2 linked regions of the Elephas maximus indicus genome follow. The protein of the gene in region 2 purifies or fractionates together with the protein of the main gene of each other region. This does not show direct contact. Links are inferred from orthologs where the notes say so. Each region holds a gene or a part of one and is shown on either strand. Other genes may lie near its edges.

Region 1 (7,218 bases), on a different chromosome or scaffold from region 2:
TTAACTGCTATACTACCAGGGCTCCATCCTATCCCTAAAAAAAAGGTGTTCTTAATTTCTTTTCCTTTCTTTTAACCAATAGCAACAAAGCCTACTAACCCTGAATTAAACAAGTTAAAAGTAAACTAAAAATTGGCCTTTACCTTTTCTGGATTGTGGTGAATTGTCCTTTCCATTGTTCTCCAGGAACACTACAAAAGAGATTGTAAAAACCAAATCATCACAAGATTAAATTCCTACTGAATCAAAAGCTATTTAGTGTATTTAGAAACTCTGTAAGCAAGAGCTCTGAAAAGTTAAGATTTTCCTAAAATGGTTTAATTGAAAAGTGGTTGTTACACTGTGATGGGATTAAGGAACTGATGTACCCTACTCTGAATTTCCTCCTTCCCCTCAGATCCCCTCCTGCCACCCTACTCTCATCTTCTTTAACTCCAAATTTATCTCACTGGTGCTGTATAGAAAGCAGTTGACCTTAGTAGTGTAACCTCTAAACAAAACCCAACTCTAACCTTCTCCACAATGCCGCCAGAGATTTTTCTAGCCCAGAATAACTTCTCTCTTATGTTATTATCTTATACACCACGGTTATTTAACTGTCAGGTATTGTATTCCCAGTTAGGGTGTGGATGCCATCCTAAGAGATCTTCCATCATAAAGCATTCTCAGTTCTTAGCCTAACTGGAGGCATTAAAAAACTATTTATATATTTATTTGCTCAATCATCTTAACCTTTACTCTTTCTCCTTGCATATATTACCATCAAATCCTATTGGTTCCATTACCTCCCCAGTTACTTTATTTAGGACCTCATCATTTCTCGCCCAAGCCTACAATTGCTTCCAACAGATCTCCCCATTTCCAATCTTAATCCCTCCCCAGTCTACACTTCTCAATGCCTTGGCAGTTCCCTTTCTAATACCGCTTCAAAACCAGCACTCTTGACTCTCAGGCATTCAAAGATTTTCACAGTCTGACGACTCCTCCACTCGTATTCAAAATCTTTGTTAAATGACTGAATGATTACTTAGCCCAAAAGACAATTAAGTGTAATTTTCACTTCAACACTTTATAAATACGATTTGTAGTAGAAAAGTAAGAGAAAACCAGAGGGAAGGGATATATTTTTAGAAAAAGAATCTAAAGCAAATTAAAAAAAAACTAGTTTTTTTTTTTTAGTTTTTTTTTTAATTAGTGGTGGAAAAATAAAAGACTGGAGCAACAACAGGCATGTAGCCAATAACAAAAAATAAAAGCAATGGGAAAGTAAAGGAGATGGCCTTGGAGAGAAAGCAGCCAAATGATGGAAATAGCCAAAGGAACTAGAAGCATGAAGATCTCCCATTTTAATATCTGCATATCAGATTTGATCACGATCCCCCTGTCAGCTCTAATCACCTAAACTGATGAAGAGCAGAGACTAAACAGAATACATACCTGCACACCAGTCGCTAGGTTTCAGGGGAATTTCTGAAAATACTAATGTGAACCAGAAATAGCTCCAGCCAAATGCTATTACCTTTTCTTCCTATGAACTCTAGTCACAAGTACTGACCATTAAGCATCAACATCATACTAGGTGACTCAAAAAACGAATCATCCTTCTAAAAGGAAAAAATACATGAAAACTATAAATGCTCTAAAATTTCCCTTTTATGCGATGGGTGGAGACTAACACACATTATTTTCACTGCTACTTTTTAAAAAACTTTTTCAAAAAGTTTAAAATTTTTTCTTGAAACAAATCTTACTACGAGATGGACAATAAGTACACTCTGAATAACAACTGTTCTCAGCAATGACCAAAAAAAATGGGCTACTTTTATGTATAGGTATTAAAAGCACACATCTAAAAACAACTCACAATTACCTCTCAAACCATGCTTTTATACTATGTGCAAATGACTCCCCAGGATATAGCTGATTATTTCTCAGATACAAAAGAATGTCTAGTAGTTTGTTTGCATACTGATGGTCCTTTATATCTTTTCCAAAATCAAAGAAGGCTTCTAAAGTTTCCAACATAGGTATAAGATCATGACCTAGCAATTTCTGATACAGATTCCAAGCTGTGTTTACATCTTGATGAAGGAGGGCTCCCTGGATACAGTCATCATAGTTCCTTTTTGAAGGGATCATGACTTTTTCGAAGTCTTCTAACAGCAGCAAGGCCTCTCTCCATCTGTCTGTATGGATTAATCCCCGGATAAGAAGACTGTAACCCGCTGGTTCTAAAATTTTGTATCTGACTTTCATGATTTCATAGACGTCAATAATTTCTGATTTCTGCTTATGAAAGACACAGAGATATAAATACTTCACCAGTAAATCATAGCTTACAATACCATTGTTTTTTGCAGCTACCCACGCCAACAGAGATTTGGCCACATCTATAGAGCTACGAGAGTAAGTTATCTGTGAGCTGATCCAATTTTCGAAATTGCCCTTTCCTTTGAAATCTTCCTTAAGTTTATCCCACTCCTCTGAATTCAAAGGTCTTGTTGGGAGTTGAATAGTGTCCCTCAGAGGCGATGAGACAGGCTCTTTACTCTGAGGATTCATCTCTGCTCTCTTCCGAGCTGCTCCAGCTGCAAAAAGATGAGGAGAATCAGAAGAAACTTGCTTATTACTTCCCTCATCTCCTTTCCTGTGATATCTGGTCTTGGCTTTCAGGAGATTCAGTGCTTTGGTATTCTGTGGAGACGCTGTTTTAAGAGAAAACCACCTCTGTCGGTTCCAGATGCCATAGCTGTCCACGAGAAAGAGAGAGTGAGGAGAGTATCCTGGGACTAGCCCAAGGTACGGGTTATTCTTCCAAAGCTTAGAAAAGCTTCGAAACCCAGACAAACAGAAAGTCATTATGCAGGGAAATCAGCACCAGATAGCGAGAAAGATGTTCAAAAAGCCTCTACTTCTACAGCAAAATTAGGTGCTTGGGGGTGGAGCGGTAGGAAGAGGACGAACAACTTTTAAAAAGACTTCCAGTTTCTCCTTTAAAGATAAATCAGGGTTCTTCTTTTGGGAATAGATGATAGCAACGAAGACCGGTTAGCTATCTCCATTAAACAACGGTCAGGGGATATCCGACCTCGGTGGCAGGCCCCAGAACTAGGGGACACGGCAGAAAATCCTGCTCTCCGAACTAGGATCCTCCGGTGCTTGTTATATTCCCCACCGCGAACCTGAGGAAAAAGCACAAGGCGGGCTCATATCAGCTCACGTGGATCACGAATGTCCTCAAAAGGGGCAGGATCCCCTGACAGCCTTGCTGAAAAGGGGGCGCAAAGTCGAAAATCGCGACCAGGAGTTGCTAAACCCAGGCCCGCCAGCAACAAAGACAAACGCGAAAGTCAAAATATAGGGGGCCCTCACCACCGTTCCCCGGGCCGCAGCACGGGCCAGAAGGGGTGTGGACTGGGGTTAGCCGAGTCAACAGCTCAGGTAAGGAAGAGAGGTCCACGAACCGCCCGGCCTTGACTGCATACCGATGGAGCACAAACAAAATTCACTTCATTCAACAACTCACCACATCACTCACGTTGAAAGCAGCCGTAAATACGGCGGAAACTACCGCGTCCACAATGCACCGGGACAGTCCCGGCCCGCAGGGGCCTGAGCAAAGCGGGCGCGGGCGTTCCGCTAGGCCTAGACACGAGAAAAAGGGTGATTTCGAGGCTTTTAGCGGCAGAAGGCGCTGCTGGAAACGTGTATAAGATTCAGGGAACCTTTAGGGCCTCCAGATAACCGCAATGAACAAGGGAAACAAATTGTGAAGGAAAAAAGCCCTCCCCCTGAGCCGGAAACTCCAGTGGACTCCTGAGTCACGTGGCAGACACGCGTTAAAGAACCAAGACGAAAAAAAGCACGGCTTTCTTTATCCGGCCCCTTTAAAATCGAGATGGATGAGGTTGGGAAGACTCCTTAAGGAGAACCATTTTCCTTTTTAACTTCTGCTTTCCGACCGTAGCGTAATCGCCGTATTCTCCGCGACTACTACCGTAATCGTTTTTGTTTCTTTAACCCAGACTTCCGCCCATGTCCAAGATGGCCGGTTGAGCCGCTTTCCCAACCCTTTCGGTTACCGGGAGGCATCTGACGTCCGAGCTGGTCGGGGGTGGTGCAGTTAGTCAAAAGCAAATGCAGGAGCTGCAGCGCGGAGTTCGCCATGGACTGGAAAGAAGTTCTTCGCCGGCGGTTAGCGACACCTAACACCGGTCCACACAGTGAGTTTGGAAAGGGCCACCGGCTGGGATAACCCGGCCCAAACTTCGGGGGTCGGATGGGGAATAATGGGAAGGAGGAACCACTGGGAGCCTCACTCTTCCCTTCTGTAAAGCCGCCCCTGACAAAGGGGGCGGAGTGGATTGTGGTTTCGAATCCAGAGAGGTTTGGTCTGAACTTTCCATTGAGAGGATTGAGGTGAAGAAGAGTCATTCACTTCCATGGTCTTCACTTAGACTTGTGAGGAATAACTGAGAACCCCGGCTCCAACAACTCTCAGACCCTACCAGAACTTTAACCCATTGATCTTGCCGCCTTTTACTGTCACACTTCTTGTGCTTATTTCCCTGCCTACCTGTCTTTGATTTCAGAATCCAGTTTTCTTGTCCCTTTCCTTTTCTTCACACTCAACCTGTTAACCAATCTGGTTAAATCCGTCTTTCTTCTTATTTCCCTGCACCCAGGGAAGCTGAAAGTGACTGGAAAAAACAGAACCGTGATGAGTTCTCTCTTTTAATTCGTGCCCAGTAACCTAAACTAGGTCTTTTAGACACTTTTACCATGCTTTCCCTGGTGGCACAGTGGTTAAGCGTTTGGCTGCTAACCAAAAGGTTGGCAGTTCCAATCCACCAGCCGTTCCTTAGAAACTCCGAGGGCCAGTTCTCCTGTGTCCTGAAGGGCCACTATGAGTCGGAATCGACTGGATAGCAACCAGTTTGGGTTTTTTTGGTTTACCATGCTTTCTAGATGTTAACTCTCCTATACTCTAAGGTAATTCTTTTCACTCCTTCTCTCTCCTCATATCTCCAGTATGTCCTACCCACTCCCTGCTTGTGATGAACTTGTTTTTTACATCACTGAGAGAATAGAAACAAGCAGAGGAGAACCTCACCTGCTCCCATTTACCATTTCTGTCTGCCCCTACATAGATGCCCATACAGTCTTACTGTTAAAATGATGAACTAACTGTCCATGCTTCTATTTGAGACAGTCCTTCTCCTCTAGCATTAGAGCATTCCCTCCTATTCACTGAGTTCACTCCTGCATTGTCCTCTCTCATGCATCATCAGATTTCCCTTCTCTACTGGATCATTTCCATCATTACTGACAAACATGCTGTAATATTCCTGTATCTTAACAAAAATCATTTGGTCCCACATCCCCCTCTAGCTTCTGACATATTTCTCTGAACCCATTGTAGGAAAGCTTCTCAGAATAGTTGTCTATACTTGTACTTTTTCCACTTTCTCCTACTGTTCTCTTTTGAACTCAACTTTATTCTTTCACAGATATTTATTGTATGCCTGTTATATTTCAAATACTGTTCTAGCTGTGCAGTGAACAAAACAGACAAAAATCCCTGTCCTTATAGAACTTACACTTTAGTGTGGGGAGAGACAATAAAGAAAATAATTAGTAAATTATATACATTATACAAGGTCCTGTTTAAGGCTGTTTCCTTCATCAGCATTTTAGATCCCATCCTTTGTGCTAGATCCCATTCTTACCTACTCAAGAATGTACTCATGCAGTTGTCCTGTCTTCTGTATCATCAGTTTTTATTCTTCTACGGCTGGGTTGCTGGTCAGTGCATGGTTGTGTTCGTGCATGTGGATTCTGTCTGTAGCAACAAATTTGAATACGTTAAAAACTGTGACTAGGAGAATGATGGCTATATGTCTAAATACTACCCTTAAGCATTCAGAGTGGCTTAGGCTAATCCATTCCGTAAATCCATTTCAAAAAACATTTGTTTAGCACCTACTAAATACCTCCTAGTAGAAAACCTGATGGCATAGTGGTTAAGAGTTTGGCTGCTAACCAAAAGGTCAGCAGTTTGAATCTACCAGGCTGTCTTTGGAAACCGTATAGGGCAGCTCTACTTTGTCCTGTAGGGTCACTGAGTCAGAACCAGCTTGGCAACAGGTTCTTCTTTTTTTTTTTTTTAAGTACTTACTGGAGCCCTGGTGGTACAGTGGTTAAGAGCTCAGGCAGCTAACCAAAAGGTTGGCAGTTCAAATCCACCAACTACTCCTAGGACAACCTAAAGGGCAGTTCTACTCTGTCCTTTAGGGTTGCTATGAATCAGGATTGACTGAACAGCAATGACTTTTTTGGACCTCAGGTGGCACAGTGGTTAAGAGTTCAGCTGCTAACCAAAAGCTCAGCAGTTAGACTCTACCAGCCACTCCTTGGATATCCTGTGGGGCAGTTCTACCCTGTCCTATAGGGTTGCTATGAGTTGGAATCAACTTGACAGCAACAGGTTTGGTTTGGTTTAAGTACCTACTAGGAAACATGGGGAGCCCTGGTGGTGCAGTGGTTAAAGCTTGGCTGCTAACCCAAAGGTGGGCAGTTACAATCCACCAGCCGCTCCTTGGAAACCCTATTGGGTGGTTCTACTTTGTCCCATAGGGTCGCTATGAGTTGGAATCAACTCGACGGCAGGGGGTTTAGGAGCCCTGATAGTGCAGTAGTTACGCGCTTGGCTGCTAATGAAAGGTCAGCAGTTCGAACCCACCAGCCACACTACAGGAGAAAGATATGGCAGGATGCTTCCGTAAAGATTTACAGCCCTAGAAGTCTATGAGGCAGTTCTAGTCTGTCCTATAGGGTCACTATAAGTTGGAATCGACTCGATGCCAGTGGGTTTGGTTTGGTTTTTGGTAAATACCTACTAGGAACCCTGGTGGCACAGTGACTTGGCTCCTAACCAAAAGGTTGGCAGTTCAAACCTACCATCCACTCCACAGGAGAAAAGATGTGATGGTCTGCTTCTGCAAACATTACAGTGTTAGAAATTCTGTGGGCAGTTCTACTCTGTCCTGTAGTGCCACTAAGAGTTGAAGTTGACTCAATAGCAATGGGTTTGATTTTTTTTTTAAGTACCCAAAAGAAAGGGAAAATTATGATTTGATATGATATTAAACTTTAAGATTTCAGAAGAGGACTAGGTAAGACCCATGGTCTTTCTGTGAAACTGAGTGACAGAAGTGG
Region 2 (7,827 bases):
TTGTATTGTTTAAGCCACTAAGAAGGAGCCATGGTGGCACAACAGTTAAAGCACTCAGCTGCTGAATGACAGGTCAGCAGTTTGAAACTGCCAGCTGCTCTGCGGGAGAAAAGATCTGGTCATCTGCTTCTATAAAGATTATAGCCTAGAAAACCCTATGGGGCAATTCTACTCTGTCACATAGGGTTGCCATGAGTCGAAATCAACTCAGTGGCACACACCGACAACCATCCACCCACTAAGTTAGGCCATTTGTTACAGCAGCAATAGAACTGGAATAAAGAAAAGAAACCTAAAAATACCAAGCTCCTTTGCGCCTCCAGGCTTTCCCAGAAGGCAGCCCCCCTCAACCTCAGTACTACAGACATTTTGGGCTGGACAGCTCTGTTGTGGAAGGCTATGCTGTGCATTGCAGGATGTTTAGCAGCATCTCTGATCTCTCCCACTAGGTGCTAGTAGGACTCCTCCAGTTGTGACAACCCAAAATGTTTCCAGGCATTGAAAAATGTCCCCTTAGGGGCAAAATCACCCTGGGTTGAGAACTATTGCCATTAAATGTCTTTTCTTGGAAGGCTCTTCACCTTCTCTTGAGCTTCACAGCCTCAGAGAGGCCTTCCTGCATCTCCTAAAATGGATCGCCCCCACCCCACTTTGTACGGATCCTGTCCTCTGCCCAGAGAGCCTCATGGCTCTTTACCTTGCCTCCATTGGGTCTTTGCTCTAATGTCTCCTCAGCAGGGCCACCTTAAGCACTCTTCTAAAAATCGCACCCCATCTCTCCTTATTTTTCTCCATGCTACTTATCCCCTTCTAACGTACTATACATTTTCCTTACTGTCTTGTTTATTGTCACTACATCTTAAGCTCTGAGAAGCTGGGAATTTTTGTGCCTTTTTCCCTGCTGTATCCCTGTGCCTAGAACAGTGCCCCGTAGAAGAGTAGAGGCCCAACAGATATTTACTAGTTCACTAACCCAACTTGTTTGTTTCCTTCCCACCACTTCTCACACGATGTTCACATGCTTCACACCTGTCTCCTGCATAGTAGCTGGTGCCACCTATATTCCCAGCACCACACTTGATACACGTTATTATTGTTGTTAGTTGCCTTGGAGTTGATTTCGACTCATGGTGACTCCACGTGTGTCAGAGTAGAACTGCTTTCAAGGCTGTGACTTTTCAGAAGCAGATTGCCAGGCCAGGTCAGGCCAGGCCTGTCTTCCAAAGCACCTGTGAGTGGGTTCATACTGTCCACCTTTTGGCTAGCAGTTGAGCGCTTTAACCATCTCCGCCACCCAGGTACTCCTATCCGATACATTAAAAAAAAAAACAAAAACCACTGCTGTGGAGTCAATTTTGACTCATAGCAACCCTGTAGGACAGAGTAGAACTGCCCCATAGGGTTTCCGAGGTTGTAATGTTTAAGGAAACAGACTGCAGTGTCTTTCTTCCGAGCCAGCACCAACCTTTCACCAACCTTTGGGTGAACAGGTGACCTGTTGCCGAGCGCTTTAACCACTGTGCCTGCCACCAAGGCTCCTTACCAGATACATGGCAAGTGTTTATCGAACAACTCAATTCATAGAACACCCCTACGAACTAGGTAATTATCCCCATTGGACAGAAGAGGAAACCAAGGCTTAGCGAGATTAACTAACTTGCTCCTGTCAGTTGGTAAGGGGGAGGAGCCAGGAATACAAGCAGAGCCTGTCTGACTCCAGAACAAGAGTCTGGAGCCTCGGAGCCTGAGCGCCGCTTTCCAAGTGGACCCCTTTCCCTCAATTTTACAAATGGGAAATTGAGGCCCAAAAGATGGGACATCTTCAATCACCACTTCCAATAATTACAGCTAACATTTATTGGGCCCTTACAATAGGCCAAGCTTTACTTGCATTATTAACTTGTTCAGTTCTCTCAACCACCCAAGGAGACCAGGACTATCATTAGGCCACGATTATGGCAAACAGAGGTTTAGAAGGGTGTGGTAATGTGCGAAGGTCACACAACTGGAGGGAAGTGGACATGGGAAGGGCACTCAGGTTACTAACCACGAAGCCGTGTTGTTAACTTGCATCAACTTTATTCTGACTCATGGCGACGCCATGTGCGCACAGTAGAACTGCTCCATAGGGTTTTCAAGGCTAAGACCTTTGGGAGGCGGATCGCCAGTCCTTTCTTCAGAGATGCCTTAACTCTTCTCAATTCCTCCCCAGACGGGCTCACGGCTCTGGGCCCCCCTATTCCCATACGCCTCGCTCATCACAAAAATATAGCACGTTTAGGAAACTGCGCATCCCCCATCCAATGGGAAAACTGGGGGGAGAAGAGAGCGGGTTTCTACAAAATTCGCTTCTAAAATTGGCTAGTTCACTCCTTAGAGGATTGTTTTTCCGTGCCCCTCCTCTTCGGGCGTCTACATCAACATTGGAAGGGGGAACGCAGGAATTGGGAAGAAAGCCTTCAGCCATCGGTACCATTTGGGTAGAGCTGATCCCCTAGCACTGCGGCCCAGATGCCCAAACCCAGGAAAGAGTAAACCTACCCGGGACCCAGCCAAACAGGAGGCCCCTCCCCCACGGAACTAGTCACGCGCCCAGCCCATCCCCAAGGGACCATTTGGGCCACAGCCAATCTCTCCCCCACCCAGGTGGCAGACCCCCCCTCCCCGCGTGGCCTTGGCCTCCCACCCCCGGAGCCGCCGCGCGCACTTGGCAGGCCTGGGACCCTTCGGCCCGCGCTCCCGCCCTCCGCTGTGTCGACACCCAATCCAGAACACTGTCTCATCGGGTTCAGGGAACCGGAGACATAAGAACTGGGCGCTGATTGGCCGGCGCCCCCTTCCGCCACTCCCAGCGAACACTGAGCCTTGTCCGCGAGGATCGCCCGCGCCCCTACGTCCCCCTTCCCGTCTTCCCCGAGTCCCCTGTAGCTTCGGGACCTGAACATCCTCGTTGCGGAGCTCGTCTATGAGCACCGCGATGGGGTACAGCGAGTCGTCGCCGTCGGCCGCCGCCATCTTCGCTCTGTCCCGTTCTTGTCAGACTGCGGCCAGCGCCGGGCTGAAACCGGGATGGGGAGGGGCGGGGCTGGGAGGAGGAGGAAAGACGGGCGTGGGGGCGCCCGAGCCACTTTACAGGGGCTGCCCTACGGTCATTGGCCGTGCTACGGCGGGCCAAGTCTGCGTCTCGTTGGTCCGGGCAAATAAAGTCCCGCCTACTGTCCATTTGCCATTGGTCGAATGGACGAGATTGGACTTGAAGAAGCCTTGGAGAGTGGGAAGGAAACGGAAGTATGCGGTATCCTAGCGACCAGGATTGTGCCCACCTACGTTGCCGCTAACAACGGCAGAGACGAACAGTTGATTCTAGCCAATGAGAGACGGGATTGGGAGGAGGCGAAGCCTGTCCTTCGGCGAGTCCGGGAGGAGGGTTCTGCGCGTGCGTCGCTAGGGATGAATTACGTCATGGGGTGACCCGGGTAGTCTGAGGGATTTGACTTGTGAGGCGGTGGCCAGGCTGGTTGGCGGCAGACTCTCTTGGACTTTTTTGCGGGAGAAGGAGGAGGGGAGAGAAAGGGTCCTTGATTTATGTCCGGGGAAACCGAAGGTCAGGGAAGGGTGGCGACCTGCCTTGCTCCCTGGATAAAACGCAAGCCTCGCGAGCTGGTATTTAAATTAAAAACTGTTGTGGTTTTGAATAGGTATTACTGTGCTTACGTTCCCCTCTCGTTTTTACCCTCCAGCAGTTCTGGAAAATTAGAGCCATCTATGCACATCTTGCACATCTTGGAGCTCTGGTAACACAGTGGTTAAGAGCTCAGGCTACTAAGCAAAAGGTTGGCAGTTCAAATCCACCTGTCGCTCCTTGGAAATCCTTTGGGGCAGTTCCACCCTGTCCTACAGAGTCACCATGAGTTGAAACTGACTAGATGGCAACGGGTTTGGTTTGGGTGCACATCTTGCTTTTCCATGCCAACAAGCCTTTGCTCGAGCTGTACTTTCTACTTGGAGTGCACTGTACATAAATGTCTTCTCTTTCCTTGGTGTCGCAAATGGTTTGTGCTCGATTACTAACCTAAAGGTTGGCACTTCAAATCCACCCAGTGGTGCCTTGGAAAAAAGTCCTGTCGATCTATTTCTGTAACGATTAAACAAACGAAAACCCATTGTGTTGCGTTGAGTTGATTCTGACTCATAGTGACCCTATAGTACAGAGTGGAGCTGCCTGATAGGGTTTCCAAGGCTCTCAGTCTTTAAAGAAGCAGATTGCCACATCTTTCTCCTGTGGAGCAGCTGGTGGGTTTGAACAGCCAAGCTTTCAGTTAACAGGCAGGCATTTAACCGCTGCGCCACCAGAGCTCCTTCTGTAAAGATTTACAAGAAAACCCTATGGAACACAGTTCTACTCTGTAACACAAGGGGTCACCAAGGGCCTTCCCTGCTTTCCCTGCCTTCAGGTTCAGTCCTCCGGCCCTCCAGAGCCAAAGAACATCCCTCTCTCAAAGTTCTCATCCCTAGAGCGAGCTGTGCCTTTGTATTGCAATCTGCCTCCTCCATAGAATGGGAGCAGGGTTTGGTCAGATTCGGATCTGTTCCCAACCTCTCTCTGAACAGCCCTGCACGTGAAATCCTGGGACCACCCTTACTGAGGGTCCTGCTGGAGGGGATAGGAAGGCCTGAAATGACCCTTCCCGCTTTATTACTCTCACTTGAAGGGCTGGGCTGAGCTAGGGCCCCTTGACAAGTATGAATATCCCAAGTATCTTTTCCAAACAGCCATGCCATGCCAGTCAGGAAACTAATCCTTGGGGAGGGGTACATATTTTAGCCCCTGCCCTTCATATACCCAGGCTTCCCCACTGAAGCCCATTGAAGCCATGGATCTTCTTACCTAAGGATGCCTGCCCTGATGTCAGACTGCTTGGGATCTTGGGCTGGGGTCCTTTTAACCTTTAGGTGCCTAGGAAAAACCTTCCTGTCCAGTCCATTCAGACTCATGGAAACCCCATATGTTACAAGTAGAACTGCTTCACGGGTTTTCAAGGCTGTAATTTTTACAGGAAGCAGATTTCCAGGCTTTCTTCTGCAGCATCACTGGGTAGGTTCAAACCTCCAACTTTTAGGTTAGTAGTTGAGCACAAACCCTTTGTGCCACACAGGGATTTTCAAAGGCCTATAACACTTTTTTTTCCCCCAGAGACAAAAAGAAGAAATTTTTGGTTCCAAAATGCCAAAACAAAGCCACAAACTTTAATAAGTATTTGAGAACTACCTATACAATTAAAATATCAATGCAATGATAATAATTGTAGTAAAATGAAGCCCTGGTGGCATAGTGGTTAAGGGCTAGGCTGGTAACCAAAAGGTTGGCAGTTCAAATCCACCAGCTGCTCCTTGGAAACCCTATGGGGTAGTTCTGCTCTGTCCTATAGGGTCAATATGAGTCAGAATCAACTCGACGGCAACAACAAAATGTACTCTATGAATTAATTCATTTAATGCTCAAAACAGATCTATGACATAAGGTGGTATCATTATCATCCAAATGAAAGGATGCTTGCAGCTGTTTCTTCTCATGACTTGTGCCACATCAGCAAATGAAGGTCCCAAAAGCTTGACTCCATTCACGTCATTAAGGTTGACTCTACTTTGAGGAGGCACCTCTTTCCCAGTCGTCTTTTGAGTGTCTTCCAACCTGAGGGGCTCATCTTCTGGCACCGTATCAGACAATGTTCCGCTGGTATTCACAAGGCTTTTTCTGGCTAATTTTTTCAAAAGCGGGCTGCCAGGTCCTTCTTCCTAGTCTGTCTTAATGTGAAAGCTCAGCTGAAACCTGTCTGCCATGGGCGATCCTGCTGGTATTTGAATACCAGTGGCACAGCTTCCAGCATTACAGCAGCACGCAAACCCCCACAGTAAGACAAAGTGACAGACCATCAGTTGCTCATATGCAAGTGCAAGTTGAAGCTGAAGAAAGCTAGAACAAGTTCACAAGAGCCAAAGTAAGACTTTGAGTATATCCCACCTGCATTTAGAGACCATCTCAAGAATAGATTTGATGCATTGAGTATAACAATGATTATAAGGATGGTGCAGGACCAGGCAGTATTTCATTCTGTGGTACACAGGGTCACTATGAGTTGGAACCAGCGCGACGGCACCTAACAACAACAACAACATTGAACTGTAATGACCGAAGACCGGACGAGTTGTGGAATGACATCAAGGAAATCATACATGAAGAAAGCAAGAAGTCATTTAAAAGACAAGAAAGTAAGAAAAGACCAAAATAGATGTCAGAAGAGACTTTGAAACTTGTACTTGAACATTGAGTAGCTAAAGCAAATGAAAGAAATGATAAGGTAAAAGAGCTGAACAGAAGTTTTCAAAGGGCGGCCCAAGAAGACAAAGTAAAGTATTATAATGACATGTTCAAAGACCTGAAGTTAGAACCAAAAGGTAAGAACACACCCAGCATTTCTCAAGCTGAGAGAACTGAAGAAAAAATTCAAGCCTCGAATTGCAATATTGAAGGATTCTACAGCGAAAATTTTAAACAGCCCAGGAAGCATCAAAAGAAGATGGAAAGAATACACAGAGTCACTGTACCAAAAAGAATTGGTCGACAGTCACACATTTCGGGAGGTAGCGTATGATCAAGAACCAATGGTACTGAAGGAAGAAGTCCAAGCTGCACTGAAGGCATTGGTGAAAAAAAGGCTCCAGGAATTGACAGAATACCAACTGAGATGTTTCACCAAATGGATGCAGCACTGAAAGTACTCACTCATCTATGCCAAGAAATTTGGAAGACAGCTACCTGGCCAATGATTGGAGGAGATTCATATTTATGCCTATTCCAAAGAAAGGTGATCCCACTGAATGTAGAAATTATCAAACCATATTCTTAATATCACACACAAGTAAAATTTTGCTAAAGATCATTCAAAAGCGGCTGCAGTAGTATATCAACAAGGAACCGCCAAAAATTCAAGCCTGATTCAGAAGAGGACCAGGGATATCATTGCTGATGTCAGATGGATCCTAGCTGAAAGCAGAGAATACAAGAAAGATGTTTTACCAGTGTTTTATTGACTATGCAAAGGCATCCCACTGTGTGGATCATAACAAATTATGGATAACACTGCGAAGAATGGGAATCCCAGAGTACTTAATTGTGCTCATGAGGAACCTGTACACAGATCAGGAAGCAGTTATTGGAACAGAACAAGGGAATACTGTGTGACTTAAGGAAAGGTGTGCATCAGGGTTGAATCCTTTCACCATATCTATTCAATCTGTGTGCTGAACAAATAATCTGGGAAGCTGGACTATATGAAGAAGAACGTGCCATCTGGATTAGAGGAAGACTCAAATTAACAACCTGCATTATGCAGATGACATGACCTTGCTTGCTGAAAGTGAAGAGGACTTGAAGCACTTACTGATGAAGATCAAAGACCACGGGCTTCAGTATGGATTACACCTCAGCGTAAAGAAAACAAAAATCCTCACAACTGGACCAATAAGCAACATCGTGGAAAGCAGAGAAAAAATTGAAGTTGTCAAGGATTTCATTTTATTTGGATCCCCAATCAACACCCATGGAAGCAGTAGTCAAGAAATCAAAAGACCTAGTGCATTGGGCTGCAAAAGACCTCTTTAAAGTGTTAAAAAGCAAAGATGTTACTTTAAGGACTAAGGTGCCCCTGAACCAAGCCATAGTGTTTTCAATCACCTCATATGCATCCAAAAGCTGGACAATGAATAAGGAAGACAAAAGAATTATTATGATGTTGGTGAAGAATATTGAATATACCATGGACTGCC

What was found. Proteins that work in one complex are often made in the same cells at the same time.
Region 1: the proteins of PPP2R1A (region 2) and PPP2R3C purify together in Homo sapiens (co-immunoprecipitation; 3 studies listed by BioGRID and IntAct, with this or other methods). This does not show direct contact. The link is inferred for Elephas maximus indicus from reciprocal best matches to the Homo sapiens genes PPP2R1A and PPP2R3C.

Annotation. Positions count from the first base shown.
Region 1 is NC_064828.1:47,442,858-47,450,075, reverse strand, and holds the start of PPP2R3C (serine/threonine-protein phosphatase 2A regulatory subunit B'' subunit gamma), read left to right. Parts: upstream 1-4,141; 5' UTR 4,142-4,165; coding exon 4,166-4,223; intron 4,224-7,218. Other genes in the region: PRORP (mitochondrial ribonuclease P catalytic subunit), read right to left, coding at 144-191, 1,871-2,859. UniProt on the Homo sapiens protein: May regulate MCM3AP phosphorylation through phosphatase recruitment. May act as a negative regulator of ABCB1 expression and function through the dephosphorylation of ABCB1 by TFPI2/PPP2R3C complex.
Region 2 is NC_064829.1:94,755,123-94,762,949, forward strand, and holds the start of PPP2R1A (serine/threonine-protein phosphatase 2A 65 kDa regulatory subunit A alpha isoform), read right to left. Parts: upstream 3,096-7,827; 5' UTR 3,016-3,095; coding exon 2,938-3,015; intron 1-2,937. UniProt on the Homo sapiens protein: The PR65 subunit of protein phosphatase 2A serves as a scaffolding molecule to coordinate the assembly of the catalytic subunit and a variable regulatory B subunit.